Rhinolophus ferrumequinum: one gene and its partners. The protein of the gene in region 1 interacts with the protein of each later gene in a biochemical or structural test. Links are inferred from orthologs where the notes say so. Each region holds a gene or a part of one and is shown in the gene's direction. Other genes may lie near its edges.

The links.
Region 2: the proteins of PELI1 (region 1) and UBE2V1 form a complex in vitro, tested with the Homo sapiens proteins (3 studies listed by BioGRID). The link is inferred for Rhinolophus ferrumequinum from reciprocal best matches to the Homo sapiens genes PELI1 and UBE2V1.
Region 3: of the proteins of PELI1 (region 1) and IRAK4, one has a biochemical effect on the other in vitro, tested with the Homo sapiens proteins (4 studies listed by BioGRID and IntAct). The link is inferred for Rhinolophus ferrumequinum from reciprocal best matches to the Homo sapiens genes PELI1 and IRAK4.

The regions. Positions count from the first base shown.
Region 1 is NC_046296.1:25,735,059-25,743,029, forward strand, and holds the start of PELI1 (E3 ubiquitin-protein ligase pellino homolog 1), read left to right. Parts: upstream 1-4,773; 5' UTR 4,774-5,112; intron 5,113-7,971. UniProt on the Homo sapiens protein: E3 ubiquitin ligase catalyzing the covalent attachment of ubiquitin moieties onto substrate proteins. Involved in the TLR and IL-1 signaling pathways via interaction with the complex containing IRAK kinases and TRAF6.
Region 2 is NC_046306.1:9,444,174-9,451,587, forward strand, and holds the start of UBE2V1 (ubiquitin-conjugating enzyme E2 variant 1), read left to right. Parts: upstream 1-4,290; 5' UTR 4,291-4,392; coding exon 4,393-4,414; intron 4,415-7,414. UniProt on the Homo sapiens protein: Has no ubiquitin ligase activity on its own. The UBE2V1-UBE2N heterodimer catalyzes the synthesis of non-canonical poly-ubiquitin chains that are linked through Lys-63.
Region 3 is NC_046293.1:46,386,509-46,394,347, forward strand, and holds the start of IRAK4 (interleukin-1 receptor-associated kinase 4), read left to right. Parts: upstream 1-4,715; 5' UTR 4,716-4,802; exon of another isoform or gene 4,803-4,982; intron 4,983-7,837; exon of another isoform or gene 7,838-7,839. Other genes in the region: pseudouridylate synthase PUS7L, read right to left, coding at 1-840.

The DNA.
Region 1 (7,971 bases):
CTCATTTTCCATGATTGAATGGTCCTGAATTCAAAAGACTGCAGGTTTTGAAGAACTATACAGAACTGTATGGTGGATTTCAAGAAGAGATCCACATGTTTTGATATGTAAATGATTTTCTACACCTGACTTTGGAGTACAAACTCCAACATATGTCTAAATTGAGGTATATCTATCTTATTATTGTGGCTCAGTTTCAAAGTATGCATATTGACTGAGTATTTACTGTATTCCAAGGACTGCGCTAAGTACTTTACATGTATTTTTCTCCTTTAAGAAAAACTGATCAAATAGTAATGATATTCATCCAAAAGATGGACTATCCCTGGAATTTTAATGACAAACATATGAATCCCAGAATTATGTTGAAGTTGCTGGCAATGTGGCCAAATTCTGGGCAATGTGTGGGTCTACCTGATGCTGAAAAACATGCTCTATTTCATGAAACTACTATAGGCTTGTGGCTGTTCTGATTAGGTTCAGCTATACATAACATAGAATACAAAATAAAAATCTCTTTAAACAGGAAAGAAGTTTATTTCTTTCTCACTTAAAAGAAGTCAGAAGGTGGAAAGTCCAGAGCTGTATGGAGCTTCCGGTCACCTCCATAGTCATTAGACTTAGATTTCTTCTATATTTCTGTTTCTACATTCTAGCTTTTTTTTTTTTTTTTTTAGGATTTCACTTTGTCTCCACTATTGACTTATTAGCTATACCTGTTTGTTTTATTTTTGATGGCTGTTGTCAGGTTTAGAATATGCTCTTTTAATTTACCACAATTTACTTTAAATATTAGTATAACACTTCATATGTAATGTAAATTCTAACAATTGAATTCCCCCTTCACTCCTTTGAACTATTGTCAAACATTTACCTCTACATTTGTTATGAACTCTATAATACAGTGCTATACTTTTTGCTTTAAATAATCAATTTAAAAAAATTTTATTTTTTAATGAGGGAAAAGTCTTTTATTCTTACTCATATAGTTACCATTTCTGGCACTCATCATTCTTTAGTATAAATCCAAGTTTCCAGGTGATATTGTTTTATTCATGCGCAAGAAGTTGCTTTAATATTTCTTGTAATGCAGTTCTAATGGCAAAATTCACTTAGCATTTTTTTCTTTAGCCTTCATTTTTTAAAGATATTTTCTCTAAATATGGGATTCTATGTGACAGATTATTTCCTGCTTTCAGCACTTAAAAAATGCCCTTGCATTGCAGAGTTTCTGATTAGTTTACTGAATTTTTGTCTTTGTTTCTCTGTATACATAATATACTTTTTTCCTCTCACTGGTTGCTTTTAATATTTTCTTCTTATCACTAGTTTTCAGCAGTTTAGCGATGGTGTCTTTTGCAGTGGTTTTTTTGTGAATGTGCACAAATATGTGTGCTTAGGGCTTCTTGAGTCTCTGGGTTTATAATATTTATCAACTGTGAAAGTATTTTCAGCTGTATTACTTCAAATAATTTTTCTGTCACCCCCCCTCACCCTTCTCTCACCTGGAACTCTAGTTACACATATCTTAGAATACTTAGTATTATCCCACAGATCACTGAGGCTCTATTTTCCTTTTCGTGCTTTTAGTTTTTTTCTTCGTGTGCTTTATTTTGGCTAGATTTCTACTGCTATGCCTTCAAGTTTACTAATCTTTTCTTCTGCGTGCCTACTCTACTTCTGAGTGTTGACTCCCTTCAGTGAAATTTTTATTTCAGAAATTGCAATTTTAATTTCTAGAAATTCCATTTTTTATGTCTTTAATTTCTCTCAGCATATGGAGCACATTTATCATAACTGTTTTAATGTTCTTGACTGCTAATTCTACCATCTTTATCATTTCTGGCTTTGTTTACGTTGACTGACTTTTCTCCTGGTTTTAAATAACATTTTCCTACTGCTTTGTATGTCCTAGTTCTCTTGCTAGTTCCCAGGCATTTTCATGATCTTCCTGCCTACTCCTTAAGTTCTGGGTTTCCCTAGGGTGCTATTATTGACTCTTCCGTTTCTGTTGTGTATACTCTTCCTGGGTGATCTCATCCATTCCCATAATTTCAACTATCATCTATGTATTCCAACTATGTCTTCTGCAGTCCGATCTCTCTTGAGAACACTAGAGTCATATATATATATAAAACTGCCCACTGCACTTCTCCATTTATATGTCCAGAGACATCTAGAACTCAACACAGCCAAAGTGAACTCCTCAAATTCCCCCTCAAAAGTTGTTCAATCTCCTGTAATCCCTAACTCTGTGAATGGCATCACTAGCTCATAATCACATAAGGCGGCAATCTGTGAGACATCCTTCCCTTTTCTTGTAGTAGACGTTGCAGTCCCCCACTTTCCTTCTGAGCTTCAACTCTTCTTTTTTGGGGTAATCACCTCAACTTTCATAGGAATATCCACACTTCCTCATCACAGCTTTGTGGGAAGCTTACTCCTTTGGGTCTAGGGACAGGGCATATATCTTTACCCTAAAATAATTAGCTTCATACCATCCCCTGGCCACCATTTTTAGCTTATGTGGACACATGAATCAATTCTTGAGGCTTCTGGGAAAATAGTTTTTTCTTCTTTCTAAAAGAGTTTCCAAAAATGACTCGCTGTTCTTTTCTCTTCTTGGACCTAGTGGCAAAACTTATAGCCACAGGAATTGTTGGTAACTGTCATTTGACCATAAAGTTAATATACCAAGGAAGGAAAAACAATGAAACAAGAAAGAAACTTGTCCTTAATGACATCTCTGAGTTGTTTAATCATTCACCCCTGTAGCCTGTCTTTTCATGGGACTTTTAATCTAAACAGTTAATATTGGCTTATTGATTAAGTCAGTTAGATCTGGCTTTTTTACTGCTTGAAACCAAAAGCATCATAATGGATAACTTTCCTTCACCCTTCACCCCCAAACACAGGCAAATACTCACTAGGTTCTATTAATTCTATCCCTCAAAGTGTCTGATTACCTTCAGTCCTGTCTTCTGCCACTGCAGGTGCCTTAGTTTAGGCTCTCATCTTTTTAAAAATGCATTTCTAAGATGCATATCTTATCAAAATTTCATCTGCTTAAAATCTTGGTAGGACTTTCCATTGCTTCCAGAGAAAAGTCCACATTCCTTAGCATACTATGCTAGGTTCTTCATGATCTAAGCTGTCTCCTTTAGCTTTTCTGTGTCTACTCTTGCTCGTCTCCCAACCTCCTTTTACTGTCAGCAACGTTGAAGTCTGCTGAACCAAAATACTCTTTGGTCTCATGCCTCTAGTGTTTTACTCTTGCTGCCATCCACCTCCACCCCCAATGCTCTCACCCACTTCTGTCCTCCCCCTCCTCAAACACATTAACTCCTAGTCATCCTCAAGTTCAAACATTCTTTGAAGTATTTCTTGACCTTGCCTGGGTCTGGAGTAGCCGTGTATCAAAGCATCTGGTGTACTTTCCTATTATAGTATTTATTACACTGAGTCTGCACAGTAAGCACTTTGAAAACAAAGAATGTTTCTTTTACGTTCCTGTATTGCTGTTTCTGGGACCTAATAAAGTGCCTGGGTCGTAGTATACTCACTAAATGGTCTTTGAATGAATAATTATGTGGTCTGCAACCATAAGGATTTCTGATCTGGAGGCTGTATTTCAAAACCTTGACTTTTCCTGCTCTAAATGTGTTTCTGATTTCTAAGCATTAATTTTTTTCTTCCAGGGTATGGGGTTCTAGGTAGGCAGAGAAGGAAAACAAAAGAGTTTGACACAGGTTGACTTTAGTTGGTCCTCTGAAAATCCAGGAATGTGTCCTGCCTTTCACCACCCTCCTCCACCACCTATTCACAAATAGATGACCAGTATGGGTGTAGCCTTAGCTGACCAGCCCAACAGCATACTCAGACCTTGGTTCAGACTTCTCTTATTGCCAAATGAAAGTATATACATAATATATATATATATATATATATATATATATATATATATATACACATATATATATATATATGTATTAACAATTTTCAACTTTCCACTTATTTTTTGAATTTACACTTTATGAAATTTGTATTTTTAAAAAATTAGAGACCTTAAAAAATCTGGATTATTTTACACTGATCAAGTAAAATACAGTGATCTTAACCCTGAACTTTGCTGGCCTTCAAGTTAAATGTGACTAATGAAGTGAAGACATTAACTATGGGATTCTGGTATTGTTGTTTCTAACAGTTTTATAACCTAATTGTTAAGGTACTAGAAGCAACTACATTTCAGCAAGTCTTAGGTAAAAAAACAACAACAAAAAAATATGAATTTAAGGCAGAAAGTTTTCACTTGAAAGAGGGGACGGAAATGAGTATTTGCAATTCAGGATTTGTGGGATAAAATGAAACAGCAAAGAAGACCGAAATATCAGGAGGAAGTCAGATTTCACTAAGCACTTGTGAGTGGTAAGGCTAGAAGTTGGGGGTGGAGCGAAGTAGGAAAGTCTAGCTAAGGGCGGGATCCCTAATACAAGCACCATAATACAAGAAGGGCCTTGTTCAGTCAGCAGCAGCACTAAACACGTTCTCTTCTTAGTGTCAGTGACCATAGTAACTGTGGGGGGGGGGGGGCCGAGCCTCTCTCCCCGAGCATGCGCAGTGCAGGACGCGTCCTCAACAATGTATCCCTTTTTTCTTCAGTGGGAGAACTACAACTCCCAAAAGACCATTCGGCGCCGCGGCACCGCCTCCCGCTGTGGTGCTGCCCTGTCTCCTCCCTCCAGCCCCGCCCTCTTGCTAGTCCCCTCCTCTCCCTCCGAGTGTGTGTCAGTGACCCAGAGGCGGTGAGAGGCGGAGGGACCGTCGGGGGGCGCCGCCGCCGCCGCCTCCACCAGCAGCACCAGCCTTGCCGCGCGCTCGGATTTGCGTCGAGCCCTCCGGGAGCGCACCACAAAGCGGGCCCCACGCCTCTCCCTCGGCCCGCAGCTCCTCCGCGCTCGGCTCCGCGGCCAACTTCCCCTTGCCGGGCTTGGCCGGCTGGCGAGGAAGACGAAACGCCGCGCTGTCTGCTCGCGCTCTCCACACACGCACACTTCACCCTCTCGCTCCGGGTCCCGGAGTCGTGCTGGGATTCCGACCACCAGCAATTGTCCGGTGAGTGTCCGCGGCGCGCCGCGGGAGGGATCGCGGTGGGATCGGTGAAGGGTGCGGGCCAGGCGGGCACGCAACTTCCTCGGCGGCTTCCCGGGGCGACGGGCGGGCTCTTTCGGCCCGCCTGCGCGCCCCCGCGCCGGAGGCGGCCGGGAGCCGAGTTTGCGGCGCCTGCATCCCGCGCCCTCGCTGGAGGAAGCGCCTTTGTCAGGAGCCGGCCCGGCGCGCCCTCCCCCTCGGTCTGGGAGCGGGGCGATCGGCCGCCAAGTCCGAGCCCAGCACCCCGCGTCGGCCGCCTTCTGCAGATGGGGAGCTCCGCAGAGGCGGGGAGGAAGAGAGAAATGAAAGAAACAAAGGGGGCAGTGGGCTTTTCTTTTGTTTGTGCGAATCTGGTAACTTCTTTCTCTTTCCTTACATAATACAGACTTCGAAGTTAGTCATTCTTTTTGTTATGATTATTGTCATCTCTGAGTGTCTCTCGCGTTTCCTTTCATCTCTGGATCTTAGAGCATTTTAAAACACTAATTAGTTACACCTCCGGGCCCCCTACAAAACAAGTTAATACACCCGTTTCCGTAAGTGGGTAAACTGAAGCCCGGAAGAGCTCTCTAATTGATGGATACGCTTGATCTTCCAATCGCGCCGGGTATCTGAGGACCTGAAAGCGTTTATGAGTAGGAACTTGTTCTCCAATGCCCCGTGGAAAAGTTAAAGATGCTCATTTTACTTATAGGTTAACTTAAGTCTAAAAGAAGTCTGGGTAATTGTTAGGTAGTTCAATCACTCTTTTACATAGTGTTTGAATCTTAGAACCTCAGAGGACTTTAAAAAGGCTCCGAGTGGGGAAAATACTGTAAATCATAAACATCTCACCATCTACTTTTATTTTCGTATGTGCAGGTCTCTTACAAGGCAGAAGAGTAATGATCGGGAAGTGGGAGGACAGAGATTTTTAAATGTAGGTTTAACAGATTTTAATCACTGCACCCAAGAAAACGTGTCTTGGTTTTAACAGCACCAATAACCTTACCATCGTTTAATCATCAAACAGGATACCAACAAGTAATTAAGTCAGCATTTAACCATAGGTGCTGGTTGTGCTAAGGACTGAAGTTTTAACTGTGTGAAAAGGTCATTTATTTGTTTTGGTCCAAAGGCTGTGTATTTACTCTGCAAAATGTTATTTTGTTTTCATAGCAGCTGATCTTTTGTTTCAGAACTGGCTTTGTCTTTTTCTACATTGAGTATGTATTTTAAGATTGAGGAGAAACAAGGTTTTTTTTATTTAGTTTGCATAGTAGTGTGAGTTAAAATTTTTGAATTGTAAAAAATGTTCAGTTTCTACAGTTGTTTAAGCTTATGATATTTTCTTTATTTCAGAAAATGTTTTCTCAGAGTGATCAGATTTACAGCTTTTAAAACATTGTCCTTATTGTACAAATACAGCATATGAATTCGTTACGTTTTTTATTTATACCAACAGCCTCTTCTGAAGGAAAATACTTGACTCTGAGGACAAGTTGGTTTATTTTGGTAGTTGAACCAAACTGGAAGGTACCAAAAATTTATTTTTTTAAATTTTTTTAAATTTATTGGGGTGACAATTGTTAGTGAAATTACATAGATTTCATCCAAAAATTTAAATCAAGCATTATTTCTACTAGTTATTTCCTGAGGTAAATAATGATGGGAACTGTAGTAACAGTGTATACTTTCACTTATCCTAAATTCTTTGGAATTTAATTTTGTATTACATAGTTGCCCCCAGGTTTTAGATTCTGATGGTTACATCAGAAAAGTGAGACATCTGTTATTTTGATATTTTCAGCCCCCACCCACCCGTAGTCCTCTAACCCATTCCTTTTCTGTAGTATGTTAAAAAGAGATCTTGAGTTTAAAACAATTAGAAAATAGAACAGTTAAATGTATGGAAAGTTGCGTGTAGTGAAGTAGTTTTAATACCTCATCTAATAAATTTACAACTTTTAAAGAGAAAACTCACCTAGGTTTTTATTAGTGTTATAGAAGTGCTCTAATGTAATAATAGTAGTATTTGTTGATTTGAATAAAAGTGAGCTGTAAATTGTATCTTCGTGGCAGGTTTGGTCCGGGGAGGGGGAGGGAATGTGGAATCTGTGCTCTTATTAAAATTGTCATGCAAGTTATCTTACAGTTGGTTATGTTGAACTTTTTCTGTAGCATTTACAAACCAAATTTATCAGAGGCATTTTACTTTAAGGAAGCTACTAACAGTATCTTTGCTCAATCACAAGTCCAAAGGCAGAAGTTAGTGTTGGCCTGTAAAAGCTGGTATTGCAAGTTCCCTGATTTCTTTGGGACCCCTTAAAGGAAATGACTGAAAAGTACAGTGCAAGGAACTGGGTCTCTAGTACTGCTAAATGGTACAGAGGCAAGTTTCAAGGGGAAGCCTAAGTATGTTTCCGTTTGACTTTGTTTCATGTTCCTTTCAGGCTTTCAAAATATCACTTGTATATTAAGAGTTCTTTCATTTCAGGATATACCTTGTGGTTGTCCAGTAGGTCATATGATAAAGACTACAGGAGTCCTACTCTGTGAACAACTGTTTTCAGACAGAAGCTTCTATAGCTGAGAAAGATTTTAAGCTAAAAGACTTAGAACTGAAAACTATTTTTCTAACATTCTCACATGCATCTTACATAGCACATCAATATGGACCTATCTTAGTATTTATTAAATCAGAAAGGCTTATATGGATTATTTTATTACATACATTTTTAACTATATATACTAAAACTTCATAATAACAAGTATGTGGTGGCACTGAGATGGTTCTAGGAGATTCTTTGGAAAAATTGTGTTGTTCCAAAAGTTACATTTATG
Region 2 (7,414 bases), on another chromosome or scaffold:
CCTACCCACCTACTGCCATCCCTTTCTGGTTGTATATTTTAGCAGCAATACCAAACATTCAATGCTATACTTCAGACACACCTAGGGAACAGAACTCCATGTATGTGCCATGAGATGCCACTAGCAAATGTGTCACACACACCCTCAACCACAGACACCTCCCTAGGAATTATACGCTCTGTCTTCTGGGTTCCCGTGACACTTCCTATCAACAGTTCGTCAGCTTTACTTTCTGTAGTTTGTATTATACAAGCTATAGCACGGAGGTTGGGGTTTTTCTTTAACTCTAAATGGGAAATATAAACAAAATTATATAATGTTATCCACAACCTTGCTATTCAAAGTGTAGTCTGTGGGTCAGCATTGGTATCCCTTGGAGCTCATTAGAAATGCGGAATCTCAGCACTCCTCACCCCCATGGAACCAGAATCTGCATTTTAAAAAGATTCCTAGTGATTTGTGTCACACAGTAGAGTTTGAGAAGTGTGTGTTGCTCCAAAAACTAATATTGTAGATTTTGTAAAGTATATTGCAGTTTTTACATTTTGAATGTACTGTTGCAAATTATTCATGCCTTTCACATCCAGAGATTCCAAAACTGCCCAGATGTTTCCCCATCTTTTGAGAACAGTGTTTTTCAGTGAACACTGGGGAACCGTCCACATCTATATATCTCTTGATTGGAGCATTGTGCCAGCTTCCTGTATCAACTATGTATACTTCAGGCTGTAGACCACATACACTTACCTTTAAGAGCAGCTTAAGCAATAAAAACAATCATTGGATCATGTCTTAAGAAGCCTGTTGGTAGGCAGTCCCTGGATTCATCCAGCAGCTCAACTACATCAGCCAGGTCCTAGCTCTTTCTGTCTTTCTGTGCTGGCCTCTTTGGTGAGACGGTAGGCTTTTTGGCCTCAGGCTTGTGTCGCATGGTTTCATTATGATTGCCACCGCTCCATCCATCACAATCTCATCTTTAGGAAGGAGGAAAGGGGACAAAAAAAGGTTTTCTCTTCTGCTGTTATGAAGGGACAAAAACTTTTCTAACATGCCCCCTCCACAATTCATTGACCAGAAAGAACTAGGACACAGGTACGCCACTGGATCAATCACTGGCAAAAAGAAATGGTAGTGCCCATGACTGGCTTGGATTCACACCTAAACACTGGACCTTCTGGCGCGAAGGGCCATGGAGACTGGACGGAGAGTCAGGAGTGTCCGACGCACTTCCTCTCTGGACTCCACACCTCCAGTCTTGCGGCAGCCCAATTCAATCTCCTCAAGGCAGCCAGGTTGCGTTTGTAAAAATGCAAATACGCTCACATTTTGCTTCAAACTTCTCAGGCTCCACCTTCCTCACCACAGAGGAAACAGCAGGTGACCCAGGATTAAGAGAACCCAATTCCAAAACTGGATTTTACTCCTTCGTGTTGTATGACCCTGGGAAAGCCATCTAACTCCTTCCAGCCTCAGTTCCCTCATCTGACAAGAAAAGATCATAATAGCTACTTTGCAAGGGTCAATGAGGATTAAATAATAATAATAATAATAATAATAATAATAATAATAATAATAGTGGTAGCTAATACTTATATAGCACTCGCTCTGTGCCAAACCCTTTTTTAAATTCTTTAGTTCTATTAACCATTTTAATATTCCCAACAATATCATAAAACAGAGCTCTCTTATCTGCACCAGCTGAAGCTACCGGCTCAAGCGGAGCAGGGACCGGGCCCAAACACGCCAGAGAAATCCCGCACTGGGGACCGGCTGTGACCTCTGGGGAGGGGGCGGAGTTTCTCCGAGAGAGTGTGAGCAAGGGGAGGACTACAACTCCCAGAAGGCTCTGCGACACCGCTGGACTATAATAACCAGCATGCCCGGAGACTTCCTGCTTAACCTATTCCTCCTGCTAGGTATTTTGCATAGGAATTTGCTTTATTGTCGATAAATATTTTTCGCTTGCCAGAAATTCCCTATGAGTACCAAGGAATCTACGCAAGTAAATATTTATGATCATCGTGGATAAGAGGCTTGTGTTTCAATCCTCATTGTTAGCTGAAAAAGTCAGTTTTCTCATCTCTAAAATGGGGATATACCTAGGAGATGCCGCATTGAGTTGTTGTGTTGCGACGATTAAAACCTGGATGTCTTGGTAAATGCCATTTCTTCTAGTGACCCTCCTTCCTCTGTGCCCAACGGTTTTATTTTGCTGTTTATTTATGCTACCTGGGCATTTTATTTCCACAACACCCTATGAGGTTGATACTATCCTTTTTTCAGAAGGGAAAACTAATGCCAGGAGGGGTTCAAGTCTCTTGCCTGAAGTCACACAGCAAAGTGAGTGGTGGAGGATTCAAACCCAGAAAACTTCACTCTAGAGGTGAGTCCACCTTAGGAGCCCAAACGCTTCCCACCTGCTACCTGATGCTTTACAGGGACCCAAAGATCAGGGCAAATATTTTCCATTGTCTTCAAGGTAAACTGGAATGATGTGATACATGGAATGTCGAGATGCTTGCCTGTGGCCAGTGCTGGGAAGGAGACACTCTTGACACTTTGCAAATCGATTACGGCTGCATTTGATCTGGATGGCGAAATTAGGAAAAGCTTCCCTAAGAGGGCGAACATCTTCCTGCACAGAAGAGCAGGAACAGTCCAGTCAAAGGCCCTGAGGAGGGAGAGGACTTGTGTTCCAGAGGCCTTGAAAAGGGCCAGTGTAACTGGAGAGGTACAGCAAGTCTGAGGTGCAGGTAGTGAGTGCCATGGAGGGGTGAAAGTTGAGGGTATACCTTTTAGGGAGGCACAGCGTGAAAGCCTCCTTAAATTTGATTCCTTAGACTCCTCACTGGCCCCATCCTAGTCCTAGCCCTAGGTGCAGGGCCTTGTGGTAGGGTGGCCATCCGTCCTGGTTTGCCCTGAAGAGTCCTCGTTTCTGCTTGCTGCCCTGGCAAGATTATACTAGGCCCACTTTCAGTCTGACGAGTGTCCTTGTTGGAGGATCATTCTATGGCCACTCAGTTTGTAGTCTGTATTCTTATCCCAAGGTAGTGGGAAGCTACTGAAAAGTTTTCCCTGATGGGTTTTGGAGCAGACTCTGGCTGCCATGTGGAGCATGGATCATGGGGTCATGAATGAAGGCTGCTGGGGTCATCCAGTGGGAGGAGACAGGGGCAGCCTATCCTAAGGAAGAACAGTGGATGGAGTTGAGAAATGCTCAGGAAGCATGGCTGTCAGAACAAGGTGATGGCTTGGATGTGCTGAGTAAGGGCTTCCGGCTTTCTTGTTCCTCGGTACTGAAGTTCTGGTCCTTCCTCTGCCAGTGTTTAGCTGTGTGACCTTCAAGCAGTTCCTTTACCTCTCACAGCCTGTTTCCACATCCATATAAGGGCTTCTCAGACCATCTGTGGTAAAGGGGGAGTTGCTTCTTGCATTGAACATGTACCTGCAAATATATGTCTCCAGGACGTGTAAACAGTTTCCTCTACCTCCTTCACATCCTTCAGGTCTCCATTAAAATGTGACCACCTTAGGAGTCCCTCCCTGACCACCCCCTGCTGCGCCTTCCCTGGTTTACTCTCTATCCCTGGTTTACTCTCTGGTTTACTCTCTATGTTACTCTCTAACATAATCTCATAATTATGTTCTTTCCTGTTAGTTTACTTGCTCTCTGTCTCCGGCTAGAATGTACGCCCGTAGGAGGAGGGGCTTGCTTCTTCAGGGATGTATATCCATCCCCAGCACCTAGTACAGCACCTGGCCCATAGTAGATGCTTAGTTAAGTGTTTGGATGAACAAATCGATCGATGTGTAAATGAGTGAATGCTTTTCCTGCCACTCTAATGCCCCAAATTATTTAGTTGCCCGGTTACAAGCCTCCTCTGGCGCAGGAGCATCAACCCTAGAAGCAAGAAGATCAGGCCTGGGTTCAGATTCGGCCTTAGCCACTTAACAGCTGAATTTAGATAAATGGCTTAACCCGACTCAGCTTCGTTTTTCATATTAATCTCGACCTGGTAGGGATGTGGTGAGGATCCAACTAGATAGGAAAATGCTCGAAACGAAATAGGCGCTTTTTTACAATTGTCTTTTCTTCTCTTTCTCTCACAATCTCGCCTCCCAAGTCTGATCACCCCTGCCCTTCTCACCAAGCATCTCAATACCTCCTTCGCACCCAAGCCCGGAGGGACTTGCACATAGCCGGGCCCTCGCGCAAGCAAATATTTCCTCTATCTATAAAGGCAGGAAAAAAACCTTCCCCAGCATCGGATCGCGTGGTCCGCGGCAGGCGTCAGCGATGACGTCTGCGCCTGCGCGCACGCTTGCGCAGAAGGGCCCAAGGACGGGTGGGGGGTGAAGAAGGGGCCGGCCTTCGAGCGACAGCGACGCAAGATGGCAGCCACCACGGGCTCGGGTGAGCGGGGGCGCCGGGCCCTGCCGGCCGAAGGAACGCGGGCTCGGGCCGGGGGTCGGGGACCCGCAAAGGCCCTTGCAGCGGGACTAGGGCCTCTGCGCTGCCTCTGTCCGCCAGGCTCCGCGGCGGCTGCCCGGCGGGCCTGAGTGGGAGGAGGAGCAGGCGGCGGCCGGAAGCACGGGCGGGGGCCTGAGGGGCCTGTGGGCGGCGCGGCGAGGCCCAGAAGCTCCCCCGGGCGGCGTGAGGGCCCCGCAGGGAGGAAGGGACGGGCCCCGCGGCGCTGCTGAGCGGCGGGAGCGGGCGAGGGGAGCGCCCAGAGGCACTGCTGAGGAGATCGGGGCTGGCGGCTCTTTGGTGGAGATCGAGGGGTTCCGTAGAGGAGGAGGAGGCGCCTTAAGGCTTATGGAAATCCTTTTCTGCATGCTGTTCGTCCGGGTGGCGGGGGGAAGCCTTGGGATGTTCGTTTGGCGGGGACTTCAGAGAAGCCCGTCAGGATGGATGGGAGGAGGAAACGGGATCCTGAGGAATGACTGAGAGGATCCCCCATTGGCTAAGGGGACGGCTCCTGCGTTAGTTTTGGGGATGAGGTTAGCTGAGGAAATCTCTGTGTTGATTAGAAAAGGGGCGTCTTGGGTGGCTACGTTTGCGGGGAGTAAGGGCATCTCTACACAATAAGTGAGAAGGGTGAAAGGATCTCTCAGGTTCCTGAGGGTGCCGGTTGGGGCAGCCGATAGTGAAATGATGCCATCGTTACCAGCCCCTATTTGAGGACACAGATGTTAGGCTTTAGGAGGCAGGCTCCGATGGTGCAGTTGGTGGAGACTTGCGATATTGGGTGAAGAACAGGTGAATTGGGAGCCCTGGAGGTGTTTGGTGGGGGAGAGGGGAGTCAACTGAGGGAAGCCCCATGCAGTGGATGAGAGTGGGAAAAGGTCGGGTTTCAGAGAGGTTTCCTTTAAAGAAGAAAAATCTCCTTTATTGGCTGAGGGAAGCATACCCCGGAAGTGTCTGTTTTGTGGAAACTGGCACTCCCTTCCAGTCCTTTGGATATTGTTAATATGATATGTGGCTTCAGCTCAGAAGTTCCCCATTGGCTGGATGGGTGTGGGGAGAGGAACAAATGCAGTGGGAATTCTTGGGTGACTGCTGGGGGAAGGAAAGCTGAGGAAAGCCCCACTTCTCCAGGAGGGCAGGAGAGAATGAAGGAGCTACACCTTGGAGGAGGGGGCGTTCGTCCAGTCCCTAGTAGGTTGAGGGAAGCAGCACTTATTTTGAGACTGGATTCCCTGCTCTATGCTCTTAAGATGGGCCTGAGGATCAAATCCTGAAAGGTCTGTTTCAAACTTATCCTGCAGCTGGACATGAGGGGACAGACTCAGGTGGCCTTCTTGAGGAGGCAGGGGGAGGATTGGCTGGGGAAGGTCCCCCAGAGGGGCTGAAGAGGTGAGAGAGTCAGATTCTGGAAGTGCAGCATTTGGGGGTGACAGTTTCCCCCTTTGGTGACGAAGCTATACCCTGAGGCCTTTGGCAGTCAAGTTGCTCAAAAAGGCCCTCCCAGATGGGGTGATCATGGTGGAGGAAGTAACAGGGCTACTAGCCTGGGTACTGAAATCCTCTGGCTATCGAAGGCTGTTGACATAAAGTGAACAGCGTGAGAAAATCCATGTCTTTCCAGGATGTGGCTCCTCCAGTATCCCAAGGAGCCATTCTTGCCTGATAATTGGGTGGGAATAGAAGGAAATGTATGTAGGGGATCTAAAGGAAGTGACCTACCACCGCTGCCTTTTACACTGAAAGCAGCAGGATCTTCCTGGAGGATAGAGGAGACCACACATGCTTTTCCTAGACTTTGGTTTCAGTTGGAACAGTGCCGAGTCAATTCGTTTACCAAGACACTGCCATAGACACTCAGAAGAGAGAGGCTGAGTCAGGCCAGACTGCTGTGGGAAATTTCTCACCGGAGTAACACCTCTGCCAGGTTGCTATGACCTGGGGTGGGGGCGGGGTTGGGGGGACCACAATGTACCCATAGCAGCCAGCGTTACGGTAGTATTGCAACTAAGCCCTGTTGTCAGTCACTTGAGATTGGCTCCCTACCATCCGGTTTAACTGCTACTGAATTCTAACTTCCTGAGGCCCTGCCAACTGGAGTGCTTCATAAATGCAATGGTGGTCAGATAAAGCAATGTCAGCTCCTGGCTAGTGGAGTACAAGAGCACTTGGCATGGTTTAGATAACGTGGAACAGGCTTTGAGGTGCCCTAAAATGGGCTTCCCCAAACTGCTTTGTTTATTCAACAGATATTTATTGAGGGCCTGCTATGTCCCAGGGTGACTAGTGAACAAGATGGACAAAGCCCTGTCCTTGAGCTTCTAGTCAGGGAGAAGCCTGTGAAAGGAGTGATTAAGAGAATTTCAGATAGCAGTACGTGCTATGAAGGAAACTGTGATGTGATCAATGATCTGGAGAGGTAGTCAGGGACGCCTTCTCTGACATGGGGCTTTGAACTGACGGAAGGAGCCAAGCCTGTGTCACAGGCAGGAGAGGGGGAGACAGTGAATGCAAAGGCACTGGCAGGGCCAAGCTTAGCATATTGAATGAACAAAATAAAGGCCGTAGTGTGCAAGGGAGGCCGCTAAGGATGATGAGTTGGAGACAGGGCTTTGGGTTTTATTCAATGTAAGGGGAAACCATTAAGCAAATGTCTGGTATGAAGTAAGCATTCAGTAAATATTTGTTGAATGAATGAATGAATGAATGGTCTTAAAAAGAGGGGAATGACAAGATCTGGCCTGTACCCCCAGGCAGTGAAAAGAGTGTAGAGTGCTGAGAGTGGAAGCAGAAAAATCTTAATTGGGTTCAACTGAAATGAGTGTGCAGACCCCTGCTTTCTAACCCTGAGAAGTCTTTGAGATGTGGTCAGGGGCCCCGAGGCCTTTCTTAGTCAGGTTGAGAACAAGCCTCTCGATTAATCTGCCCCTGGTTGCCAGGAAACAGCTG
Region 3 (7,839 bases), on another chromosome or scaffold:
TCTTACTGTTATCACTATATTTGGATTACCAGCATTGCAATTAGGTTCAGGAAAAGATTTGGTTTCCACAAGATTTCCAAACTTTTTGTTAACAAAATGGTGAACAGCTTTTCTGTGGTCTTTGTCTGTATCAGGTTTAAAGGTAAATTTGGAATTTTCTTTCTTTGCATCCAAATATTTGAAAAAGTCAAGTGCTTCTTCTTCGGATACCAAGTGAAGGAGTTCTTTATATTCAAGATTTGGTTTTACAACAATTTCACTGTTTTTTCCTACAGTTATTAAAAAGGGAAACTTCTGCCTAATAGCACTATGCAAAATAGCCCTCTGGTTTTTGTCAAGGATTGTGCCCAGTAAGAATTCAGGAGATGGTCCAATTAGCTCAGTTTTAGAATCCCACTTCTCTTTTATAGCACAAGCAAACTGATTCAGTAATTCACTAGTTTTTTTATCTAACAAAGAGCCTAATACATCAACTTTTTCTTCTTCACATTTGGAAGTTCCATCATTGATTATATCTTCCTTTTCTGAACCAGTCTGATGATTTTGGTCATCATTGGAAAACCCAGCCAAAGTATTGACTTCTTGGTCGCTTCCCTCTTCCAAGGACACATTTTGAAGATCTAGTTTTGTTTTCTTTGCAAAATTATTTGGCTTGGGTAGTGCTTTACTAATCTTGTCAATAGGTTCATCAGTGGCCTTATTAACTAACTGTCCCTGTTCATCTATTTCAATAACAACAAAGTCACTTGGTGAGCTTTTTATAGTGCCATGAAATCCAACATGATCAGTAATGAAACACAAAGAACTAAATCTGATTCTAAAATCTGTATCCTCTTCCATTCTTAAATAGCAATGCCTACAAAAGAAACAGAGAGGCAGTCAGTTACTAGAAAGAAAACTTGTGGGTCACAAAAAGAAATAGGTTTGCAGGATTTATTTAATTCTCTTTCTCCCTTTCAATCCTGAGACTCCTTTAATAGACACTAATAATCTACTTCTATATATCCTGTGTATTTTGACCCTCCTATACCAAAATGAATTAACATACAAACTTTTTCTGGTATAACTGGTGAGTTGCAACTTGACTCTTCATCCACTCCAGGATTCCATCTATTGTTCAGGATTAAAATGAGTCAGTTTCAACTTCACTTTAAAAATATAATTTGTTGGCCAGCCCAGTGGCTCAGGCGATTAGAGCTCTGTGCTCCTAACTCCGAAGGCTGCCGGTTCGATTCCCACATGGGCCAGTGGGCTCTCACCCACAAGGTTGCCAGTTCAACTCCTCGAGTCCCGCAAGGGATGGTGGGCAGAGCCCCTGCAACTAAGATTGAACATGGCACCTTAAGCTGAGTTGCCTCCCGGATGGCTCAGTTGGTTGGAGCGTGTCCTCTCAACCACAAGGTTACCGGTTCAACTCCCACAAGGGATGGTGGGCTGTGCCCCCGGCGACCAGCAACGGCAACTGGACCTGGAGCTGAGCTGCGCCCTCCACAGCTAAGACTGAAAGGACAACAACTTGAAGCTGAACGGCACCCTCCACAACTAAGATTGAAAGGACAACAACTTGACTTGGAAAAAAGGCCTGGAAGTACACACTGTTCCCCAATAAAGTCCTGTTCCCTTCCCCAATAAAATCTTTAAAAAATATATGTCACTTGTAGGCCCACAAAGAACAAAGAACTGTGTACAATGTGTGCAGTGATTTTCTAAACCCTACCTCTGAAATTTCCAGCTAAATCCAGAGAACTTGTGGCTAGATTTTTATATATTAGCTGTTAGGGATGGGAGAAGGATGAGAAGACAGGAAGAAAAAGGCCAAATTGACAAATGAAGCTCTAAATACCAACTTGCCATGTGATTACTTGAACCATAAGCCTTCTTGAAAGCCCATATAAAAACTTTTACAGATACAAACTTCTGAGGTTGACTCAGAGGGAAATTCCAACCTTGTCACGGTCATCAGAGAGAAGAAACCCTTACAGATTTTCTTGAAGCAGCAGACCAGAGAATAGTTCTGTAAGGAGGCCTTCACTCACTCTTCACACAACCTATGGCTACCACACCAGATGGAGCTACAGGAAAGCTAAAATGCCCAGGGCCCCGTAATATTCCTTTGTGTCAGCCACACTCTCCAGGTAATTTAATCATCATCTGGACCTTCATTCCATGTTGACAATGTATTATACTAATCTGAAACAATTTAGCAAACTCCCCTCCTCCATCCTATTATGCCATGTAGAAATCAGAGCAAATTCTCTACATCCTTATTTCTTAGGAAATATAGAGGGATATATTTATTTTCCTTCATTCCTTAATTTCCTGTACAGTCTCCTCAGTTTCTAGCCTTCACTGAAACCTGGCTATTTCCCCCAGGCTGCTTCCTCTGTAGTCCTCTCAAGTGAAAGCCATTTTTCCTTTCACACCCACCTAACTTAGGACCTGGAAATTGTAAATATTTTGTTTGCCACTACTCCTTCCAAACCATTTCTTCCTCCTCTACCTCCCCAAACCCCAGTTCCTTTGAAGTTCATGCCATCAGACTCTGCCATCTGCTGTCATCCTCTCTCTGGTCCTGGGATGACTCTTCCTTCTTCACTGAAGACTTTATTGTTCCCTGTCTTCTTAACCATCATGACTTGCAGGACCATCCATATGGATCATCCATTTAACATCACAGTGTCTCAGTTCCTCAATCTGAATCTCAACCCACTTCCACTTCATCTTGGTCATAGCCTTGACTTTCTGATCACCAAAAATTGCATCAACTTTAAGCATCTGGCTCTCTGATTACTCCTGCTGTCCTTTCATCACCTCCACTTTGTACTTCATTCCATAAATTCTTATACATTGTAAAGGCCTCTAATCTCTGCTTCTACTACTGGTCCACGTAACACCCAGAATGATTTAAAAGGTAAATTAATCCATATCACAACCTGATTTAAAACCCTCAAACCACATTTATAATGAAATTCAAATTTCCCTGACTTCCAAAGATTTCTAAGATTCTGGACTTTGTCTAGTCTACAAATTTATTTTGTAACCTTTCCCCATTTCCAACTATACTCCAGATACACTGGACTTCATTTCCTTTGTACCAACTGTTGCTGCTGATGAAATTGGTCCTTCCCAAATCACATCCTACGAGGTCTTCCCTGACCAATGTCTAAAGGAACCGGCAAGTCACTCTCTTTCACAAAACTTTAGCTTTTTGCATAGTATTTCTATCTAATAATTTTCATTATTTATTGTATATCTCCCTCAACTAGATTGTTAGCTCCATCCAAGCAAGAACTTGTCTGCCTTATTCACTGATTATCTCACATTTAGAACACTGTCACGCACATAGTAGGCATGCAATCATTACTGATAGTTGAATAAATTAAATTATAAAATAAGAGGGTAAGAGTGAAAAGGAAGAAAGGTCGCTTTTGCCTATGATAATTGGTAAAGTCATAATGCAAGACGTGGCCATCTAAGTCCTCAAAACTGTCTAAGCAATAGAAATGAGGCAGAGGCATATCATAAGTAATGTAAAAACAAAATATGCAATGTGGTAGAGAAAACTGAACAGTCCAGATACAGAGCTGTAGGAGAAAAAGTTTTCTGGACAGTTCTGGAAAATACAGTTGGATCAGTGCCAAACTATCTAAGACACTGAATGCCCTGTCAAGGGCTTAGAATCCAGAGCGGTCAATGGATGGCCGCCGGAGGTGTTTGGGTAGGAAAACTACACAATCTAAAATGATGTTTTGGTAAGACGCCTGATGGAACCGTACAGGATGAATCAGAAGCAGTGTTAGGGAAGCAATGTAATCAAGACTATTGTTGTAGGATCGGCCTTGGGAATAATAATAACAAATTCTTACCCCAGTAAAAGGAAGATATGAAGACATTCTAAGCTAATACAATGGGTAGAACAAGTAACTCGGGGAGAATGTGTAACAACGAGGGAATTACAACCAAGCATCTTAGGAAAAGAGCGGAACCCAGCGGGAGGGAGCCCAGGAGCCCACGTGGAGTTCAGCATAACTGTGCGGTGTTCCTCCGCAACCGATTGGTCGATGAGGGTGCCAGGTGGAGAGGGGTAAGGTAGTCTGACCCAAGGTTAGTGAATTCCCGGTTGAGGACAGACAGATACAAGGAAGATATTAGAAATGGAGAAGACAGCGCCTTTTCCCTTACGCTCTTACTTCACTAATCGCCGAAGCTCCGCCGAACTCACTCCTACGTACTTCCCGCTCCGTCCCCCACCCGCAGAATTTAAATCTCCGGCGTGGTGGCCTTTGGCGCGTCCACAAGTACCCTCAGACACCGCCACCAGCTCCCCGTGCTTCTCCTCCCTCCCCCACACCCGCCAGTCCCAAGGCGCAATCCTCGTCCACCTCACCCTCCGCTCGGGGGCAAAGGCTTGGGGTCCCAACGCCAATCATGTCATCGCCCCATACAGAAGCCCACATGACGCTAGATGCTCCACCGGGTCTACCTCACCTCCAGGTGAAGGCATGCCCCTGCACAACCTTGTGCGCATGCCCGGAAGACAATATATTTCGCCTCCGACGGAGGCGTTTTTAAAGGGACAGGCTCCTACTTACAGAAGCGACTAGGACTTTCCCACTTGGTGACGCCGCCCGCAGGGGCCAAGAGGCAGGGAAGGGCGGGGCCTGGCGTGTGGAGCCCTTCCCGTCACGCCCCGCCCCGCCCCACCGCGCCCCGCCCCGCGCCCCGCCCCGCGCCCCGATTCCTCACCGGCGGGCACTACCGGGCGGGGTGCAGTCCGCCTCCTGTGCCCCGCGTCTGGGCAGGTAAGGATTTCCGACTGTGCGCGCATCCTTCACCGCAGGTGGTCCGAAGTCCGCGCCCCGGCCTCAGTCTCCCTGCCCCAGGGTTGTTCAGGGACCGTTTCGGAAGGAAGTTAGCCTCTTATCTTCCAAATGAGAAAAGTTCGGGAGGAACTAGGTGGCGTGGACCGAGCTTGATCCAGGGTAAAGACTTGGTTGGGTCCCTGGGGATCAAAAAGTTACTCGGACCTGAAGAGGAATCTGGGGCGTGGAGAAGCGTCACCCAGACATTCTGTGGCTCAGTCGTTCCTCTCTCCGAGTCTCAACTCCTATGAGTTGTGTTCCGTCTGAGTGCGGGTTTACAAAATGAAATCTTTTTTTCCTGAGAACCAGGAAGTAAGTCCAGCACCCAGCAGAGATGCTTGTTGCTTGGAAGGCATGCTGAGCCTGCACAAGATTCTAAGATTCTAATTAGTTTGTTTCTCTGGCTTCCAAGCTTCCAGGAAATTAGAAAGTGGAGAGGAGTTGTAAGGTTCAGATAAGTGCATTATCAGATAGGAAAAGTGTACTTGACAGCCTAGAAGCAAGAGAGAAAACAGAAATAAAAAGCAGACCTTGAGAAATTGAGGAAGCGTTGTGGCCATTTAGAATGGGAACAAATGGCTCTTATTAGTGCCTCAAAAACGCATCTGCCCCCAAGGAACCCTAAGAACAGAGAACATTTAACTCTGCCTTGCCCTTTCTTTCTGGAGTAAGCCTTGAAGGATCTGTCAGAAAGTTCAGAGTTGTTTTATTCTCCTGTTTGCAAGCTAAACATTCCTTTGAAGTGTACTTTCTAACCTGTCCAAACTGAGCTCATGATCTTCCAGTCCAAACGTGTGCCTTCCACAGTCTATTCTATCTCAGTAAATGTCAGGAAACTTGTTTAGGCCAAAAACCTTGATGCTATCTTCTCACCTTTCATATCAGCAAATAGGATTCTCATTGCTGTACCTCAGAAAATATTGAGCATCCTAGGTCTTCCTACCTTCTCTGCTACCTCTGTGGTCCAAGCTGCCAGTACCTCCCACCTGGACTACTGGATTACTCTACTAAACTGGTTTCTTCCTTCTTCTCTGCCCTTATTCCAGGAGCCTTTATTCTCAGCAGCAGCCCCAGTGTCCTTTTAAGAACCAGTTTAGAGCCTGTCTCTCCTTTTCTTAAAGCCTCCACTGTCTTCTCATCTTGCTCAAGGATCAACAAAGTCAATACAAAGTATACGGCTCTAAGAGACCTAGCTCTGTTACCTCTCTCATCTAATCTGCTACTTTCCTACTCCCTCTCCAGTCTCACTATCTCCTGGCTTTTTCTCAATGACCCATTTCAGGCCCTTGGAATGTTTTCCTACAGATACCCAGTGGCTGACTTCCTCATTGATTCAGACCTTTAATCACCTTCTTTGTTTCCCTCACTCTTCTTTCTCTGTAGTATCTGATCTTTCATGAAGTTAAGATCAGATGCAGTCTCCTAAATGTTTGACTGTTTTCTTCTGCATTCCCTGACCATATACTTTTTTCAGGTTTACATTTCTGCTAGATTATTGCAAAGTTTTCAAACTGGTCTCCCTGCGTAAATATACATCCCTTCAATTTTTTATCCAGAGGAATCCACTTAGCCAAATAACACCTTTCCTTAAAGTCCTGTAACTTTTAGTATAAAGTTTAAACTCCTTGTCATAGCATATGCGGTACATGATGATTTGGCCCTGTCTACTTCTCGAGCGTCACCTCTTATTACTTAATGACATGCATCCTGTGGTCCAGCCATAGCAAACCCTTTGCCTGAGCCTAACCTATGCTCCCCTGTGCTGTTCCTGCTGCCTGGAGTTTCCTTGAGTTTATCCTCATTCCTTTTCATTCATCTTTCCAACCTCCCAACCCACCCAAATCTGTCTTAATATACTTCCTTCGGACGGGCTTGGCTTGATGTCCCTTCTCTGGGCCCCAAAACATACCTCTTGCAACATTTATAACTCACTGTAATTGTTTTATCCCCTGCTAGACTGAACAGCTTGAAAACAAAAGATTTTCTCTTCTCTGTAGCTCCTGTTACTTATTGCAAAGCCTGACATGTATGTTTTTTTGAATGTAGGGATGTATATTTACGCAGGAAGACCAATTTGAAAACTTTGCAATAATCTAGCAGAAATGTAAACCTGAAAAAAGTATATGGTCAGGGAATGCAGAAGAAAACATTCAAACATTTAGGAGACTGCATCTGATCTTAAATTCATGAAAGATCAGATACTACAGAGAAAGAAGAGTGAGGGAAACAAAGAAGGTGATTAAAGGTCTGAATCAATGAGAAAGTCAGCCACTGGGATATCTGTAGGAAAATGTTCCAAGGGCCTGAAATGGGTCATTGAGAAAAAGCCAGAAAGGAAATGACTGGTCTTTCTAGAAAAGAGAGTGAAATGAACAACGCATTGAGTTATAGAAGCAGGGACATAAGGCATGAATTTTGAAGTCAGATATGGGTTCAAGTCCTAGCTCTTTTACTTACTACCTTTGTGAAATAGAGATGATAAAACTGCATTAGTCACCTTGAGGATTAAGTGAAGTGTATAAATCACCTTGCATGGTACTGGGCAGGAACATGTAACAACACCATTATCTACAATGTGCTAGTTACTAGTTATATATTAGTAAATAAAATGATCATAGTCCCTGAACTCGTGGAACTCTTAGTCTGATGGGGGTGACAGTAAACAACTGGACAAATAAATTTATGGTTACAAATAAATTGTGCAGTAATGAAAGATATTTAGGTTGAGGGCAGATAGACCTACGTAGATGTAATGGTCAAAGAAGGTCAAAGAGAAGAAAATGCTAATACAGAGGTCCAGGATACAGAGAGACTTTTTGCTTCTTACTCTTTTATAACTTCTGGATTTTGTACCACATGAATATATTCTCTACTCCAAAAATTAGTTATATTGCATCTTAAAAAGAAAAATATATAGGGGAACAGGAGAATAATTGGCAGGAGAATATCTGAATCTATTTGTCTTGATTAATTAGAA